2 linked regions of the Drosophila melanogaster genome follow. The protein of the gene in region 2 interacts with the protein of the main gene of each other region in a pairwise test. Each region holds a gene or a part of one and is shown on either strand. Other genes may lie near its edges.

The links. The genes of interacting proteins can lie anywhere in the genome.
Region 1: the proteins of ATPsynGL (region 2) and CG16978 interact in a two-hybrid assay, tested with the Drosophila melanogaster proteins (one large-scale study listed by BioGRID).

What each region holds. Positions count from the first base shown.
Region 1 is NT_033779.5:13,142,714-13,145,787, reverse strand, and holds CG16978 (uncharacterized protein), read left to right. Parts: upstream 1-2,165; 5' UTR 2,166-2,190; coding exon 2,191-2,481; 3' UTR 2,482-2,574; downstream 2,575-3,074. Other genes in the region: CG9928 (uncharacterized protein), read left to right, coding at 2,923-3,074.
Region 2 is NT_033779.5:7,745,648-7,748,437, forward strand, and holds ATPsynGL (ATP synthase, subunit G-like), read left to right. Parts: upstream 1-1,627; 5' UTR 1,628-1,733; coding exon 1,734-1,773; intron 1,774-1,826; coding exon 1,827-2,110; 3' UTR 2,111-2,227; downstream 2,228-2,790.

The sequences.
Region 1 (3,074 bases), 5.4 Mb from region 2:
AATATATTGTTTAAAACTATAACATCTGTTTTAATTGACTTCTCTTGGCTTCTCTTTGAAAAGTTTATAAATCTCTTTGAGCCAAAACAGCTCTTTGGTATAGCTCTTAGCCAAAAGTCGTAAGACGAAAAATAGAAGAAAATCGGGCATAAAGTAGAGACCAATTTAATTTGTTTGTTTTACTAATCAGCGGCACGTACTCGCACGTTTTTTGCGTCAAAGTCTTTAGTGCGGTCTTTAGCTGAATTCTGTTCGCCGATATTGGAGCTCTTTTTGTTGCCATCGCTGCTATTGGACGGTACGCTTTTGACCAGGTCGGGCGTATCGGCTGCCGTTTGGCTAAACAGCCCACGTTTAAACATGGCTCAGAGCGTGCTAATCAAGTGGCTACGAAAACAAAATTACGCGACCGACTGAGCAAAAGCCAGCTTTGACTTTGTCTCGTTTTTCATATATTTGTGGTTACCTTTCCAGGGGGTTCTTCGATTTTTGAAAGAGGTTTGTAACACTGAAAAATATACCCACAAGCTTAAGGTATATATGAAGAAAATTTAAACGATTAGATGTCATTTTTGGTCATAATTAAAATCGAGTTATTTTTACAACTTCAGTATTATCAATGATATTGATCATTGAAGCTTCGAAAAGGGTATTTAGACATTGGCTGAAAAATATTTATTTTCCTCCTCTTTTTTTTGATTGACTTTGGTTTTTATGTTATTTGGTCGCGTTGCGTTGAAGTTGGTTTTGGCTTTGGACTCCGGTGAAGCCAGGGGATTTGGGGCTAGGGCTGGGCCGTCGTTTGGGTACGCTTTGATGGCTTCTAGGTGAAGGTCATTGTGTGACTGAAATGTTAATTTGACTGACTGTCGTACTTTTATGCCGGAGTGCCTGGGCTATTTCAGTTGTATCTTTTTAATGGCACTTGCTAAGGTTCTATACACCTAGAAGTGGGTATTCATGTCGGCTTAAAAACCACTAAACAAAACTCAAAACCAACTTTGATTTGTTGCGCCGCTGGTATGCGGCGATTTTTAAATGACTGACATTTGCTAGCAAGTCGACATAATATACAAAAGCATCAGAAAAAGTTTGAAATTTTTTAAAATATACATTAATTATAGAATTGAAGTTGAGGATATTAAAATAATTAAAAACATATTTGTGGTTATTATTTCAGTTGCCAGCAGAGTTTTTATATTATATAAAGAATTTTCTGAAACGTTTTAGAAATGACTAAAAACGATCCGTGTAACAGCTTACTTTGATTTCAATGGCGCAGTCTTAGACTCCAATGATGGCGATGCAAATGAGCGACATATTTGCAGACAAGTCCACCAGCAATTCGGTGAATGGGCGGGCGTCTGCTTCCCCGGAGGATAATGAGCTGCAGCCCCCGTGAATCGAGTCTGGTGGCCCATCTAATGGTGTTGTTCGCATGGTGGTTAGATGGTTGAATGCTGCAGCTACAGCAGCAACGATTCAGCACCGTTTTGCTGATGCGGCACACTCCAATGCCATAAAAGGGCATTAGCCTCGTGAGTAGATTGCATGTTTTTACCACAGGTTTTCGTGGATGGGCTCCCGTCTTTTGGGGTGGCAAAGTGAGGTTGTACTGGCAGCTGAGTGCGCGCGCTTTGGAAAATTGAATAAAGTGCCGGAGGAGCCAACGAAGGATTGAGGCAACGAAGCGGAGTAAAGTGCTCGATGCTGGCAGCCAAGTCATTTAAGGGTTGCCGGCAGCACTCACATCGGCCTACAAGGAAAGATGAAATACAGTCGCTTTGCTAAGTTTATAATCCCTTATTTAGAGTACATTTTCTGACTACCCAGCTAACTAACACAACTCTAGTAACTGACAGATGATTGGCATGGCCGAGAATTTTCTCAACAGACATAGCAATTATTTGGAATTAATCATAGACTTATTTGCATGACTGTTGATCCGCAAGTGGCAACGTGTCGTATGCGCAATGCTTGCTCTTGCTGGGTCTGCGATGATTCAGAGGGGACTCTAGTACCGCCCAACGCATAAATATGAATGAGGAAATCGAAGCAGCTTGCCACTTGGGCTTAGCCCAGACTGGATTTTCCAGAATTCCATTGAACTTATTACTGACCGACACGATCCATATAAAAACGAAAGAAATTGCATCTGGCTATGCAGTTGCCGGCGGTGCATTGATCAGCATGATGAGCCGCATCATATCATTGCTTCTCCTATTCGGAATCATTTGTGCTGCTCTAATTGCCGGCCATCCGCACGACCTTATTGAAGATCCGGAAGGTACCAATGATGCTTTGGAGGAATCTGGCAGTGGATACAACAGTGCCGAAGAGTTCATGAATGCAATGGACGAGCTGATCAGACGCTGGCAGGAGAACGATGCAGCTCATGAGAACTCAACTGACTATCCAAGTCTTGATGACGATGAGACGACTTTGGATTTTATGGATATTACCACCGAACCGGCTACTTAATATGGAATTATTTAGTAGTGCTGTAATGCTAAGTCATGCTATCCTATTGTCTGTAAATAATCTAGTTCTTCAATAATAATTATTAAGGGAAATAAAAGAAAGTTTTTAGAAATTTTAAAATGAAATCAATCAAGAGAGAATCAAGAGATCTTCATTTTTTGATAATGAATGTTGCCTACTCCGCAATTTCGATTTTAAGTACGCATTAAATACTAGTCATAGATTGAATTTAATAGCTCGTTTAGTATATCAATTAAGCTTGTGGTAAGCTGTGTTGCTGTTAAGCTGGAATTTCCCGCACTCACCTCTGTCTAAAAGTATACATATCACCTTTAAACCAACCACTTAGAACTGCTGATAACCCAGGGCAAGGCTATAAAAGCCCAGCTCAAGAGCCGACTGACATTCAGTCAACTGTAGCCAGAGCTAATCGAAAGAAAAATGCAATCCATTCTCCGACTGCTGGTGCTGTTTGGATTAATCTATACCGCGATCGGTGCATCGGGTATATTTCAGAATATAAACCTCGGTGGCGAAGGAGGAAGAACACGATCTTCAGGTGGCAACTTGGACTGGAGCGATAGTGTTCACAG
Region 2 (2,790 bases):
TTGCAATTATATAAATCGCTGGTATTGGTGTGTGTGTGTGTGTGTGTTTGGCTTGCAGCATGGGGCACGGAATTTGTGTACAGTAAACTAAAGTAAAATAAAGTCGCGTGCCTACACTGCAATAACAATTACTTTGCCCCAAGGCGGACTCAGAAGTTAGCCCCTGCAATGACTAAATCAATGCAATAATATTAATTGAGCTTTAAATGCCAAAAAGTTAGTCAGCCGTTAAAATCATTCTAGAATGGATTGTTAGCTTATTTACCCGAACAATCAGTGCTTAAACCCTTAAAAAGAGCAATTAAATATTGGTAACCTATTTCAAAATCGATTTATGGCCAGAAAATAGTTCGCTGATCATAAAAAATTTATAGATACTAAATACTAAACTTATGTTTACCAATTTTAGACAGTATTGGTTTTGGCCAAGAAATTTCGAGCAAATGATTTCAAATATTCAAATGAGATTTAGTTTAAATTTAAAAGTCTTTAAAATCCATCCATTTTCTAAAAGAATTTTAAGACTCCGTGACGTCAGCATTGCCGTGACTTTCAGTCGCAAATTCCAGAGCACTGGAATTTTTCGCAGTGCCTTAAATAAACAATTAGCCTCTGCAGTTTTGCCTTGTTTTCGCTGCCCGCTGCTCCGCCAAAAATAGGAAGGCAATTCTCGTATTGTGGCGGGGCAACGCCCAAGAATAAATATAATCAAAGGCTGTCAGCATTGGCAAACAATAAAAAATGCAAAAAAAGCCAAACGAATTGGTGGACTACATTTCCATGTTTGGGGCATTTGGCTTAAACCCCCGGCGAATTTCAAGTCTCAACTTGAAATCGTCATGGACATGCAGATCAAAAAGCTGGCCACGTTTTTTTTTTTTCCAAAGACTTGGGTCAGAGTGTCAAACTGGCCAAATGTGAGACTGAAACCACTTAGACGACAGCTGCAGCGAAAAATATATGCGATCGATCCATTAATCACACCCAATATGATTATGCATAGGGCCCGCAACGGGTCTTGGGTGGAATGTCATACTCGTCTAACTGGCGCAATTAGATCAGCTATGCGAATAAAAAAACAAGAGCAATTTTCATTTGAAGAACGGGCCCTTCACCTCGACTCCATTAGAGCTTCATTAGCAAAGCGGCTGGCCTAAAACATGCATTATGGCCAACCAATTCCATTGAACTGATGACGAAAGACCCAGCGTTTTATTGCACATTTTGAGATTTTCATTTCGATGACCGGCAAACACAATGCTGGCCAATTTTTTTAGGGCGTGCTCCGTCTTTCTATTCTACTTTTTAGCCATTGTTTCGCTTTGGCAAGTGGGCGGGGCGCTCTAGTAATAACCATCTTGTCGGTTTGGTAATGATCGGTCAGTTTATCGCCCGCAAATCGAATAATTGGCGCAGGTTGTTTTCAACCACGCCGCAATTATGCAAATTTTCCAAACACATTTACCAGGCACTGCATCTGAATACAAAATGAACCAGCTCTTAAAAAAAAAATAAAATAAAATTGTATCAAATTTTGTGAATTTTTTGGCAAGGACATAAATCGTGCAGTGTGTGGTAGCCTTTTAACATGTCTAAAATCTAATAGCTAGGAACCCTTTGCTGAAAAGTCAAATCATTTTTGACAGCACTCCGTTTAATAACTTTGTACGAGAACGTAAAATTGTCGAATTTTTAGAAACTTGCATTTCTTGTTTTATTTTTCTACCAACAAAATGAGTCAATTGATTGCCAAGGCAAAGACCCTAGTAAACAGTAAGATGCGCACTTCTAGTCTGGCCAAAATGTAATTTTATGGTATTACGCAGAAATGATTGTGGCAGCACGTCCGCAGCTCGATGAATTCTGGAAGTATGCCAAGGTGGAGCTATCACCGCCGCTGCCCGCTGATTTCCAAAAGCTGAAGCAGACCGCTGAGTCCGCCAAGTTGGCCTCCAAAAAGGATATGAAGGGGCAGCTAAAGAAGTCCGGACTTTCCCAAGTGACAGTCGCTGAGGCCTGGCTAAATGTTCTGGTCACCGTGGAGGTGATTACCTGGTTCTACATGGGCGAGGTTATCGGTCGTCGTCACCTGGTCGGCTACAAGGTTTAGACATAGCAGATTTAATATTCTCCTTATGTTTTTGTGTTGTATGCAAATGGCCCAGTGCATTTAAGCCCTTTTTCTGTGGCCAGGTGCACTGAATAAAGGTGCATTATCAAGCATTACAATCATGGGCGTAGCTGTTTATATTGTTTTTTCCCTAGAAATTCGCTTTATGTTCTCGTCCGTCGTAAACGTCATATATAGCTCAATTTATATTCTGTATGATATTCATTTTAGAAAGTTTAATGGTCTAAGTGGTAAGATATCGAATATTTCATAACTTTTGCATTTGGCAAGTAAAGTTGTTTAGTGCTTCCTAATATATTTGCATACATAAATTCCCAGTGACCAGGTGCGCAACATGTGAACTCCCACTCCGTCATTTAACAGTGCCCCGCCTCAAATTCCGGATACCCAATGGCCCGGCATGAGCAACGTGCTCATGGCAGATCTGAGTCTCGCTAAGCTGGCATTGATCTTGGACATGGAGTTCTCATATTCCGCTGCGAGGCGAGTGCGCAGGCGTCCGAGCGGCAAAGCGTTGGGTTCCTAAGGCGGCACGACAGCGGACACGGGCGGCAGTCCGGTCAAGTGGCATAAATCAGATTGACGCCGTGGCAGTTGCACAAGCCAAACAATGGCAACCAACGTGTGCCCCAAGTTGAATGTATGTAACTGTATTACAA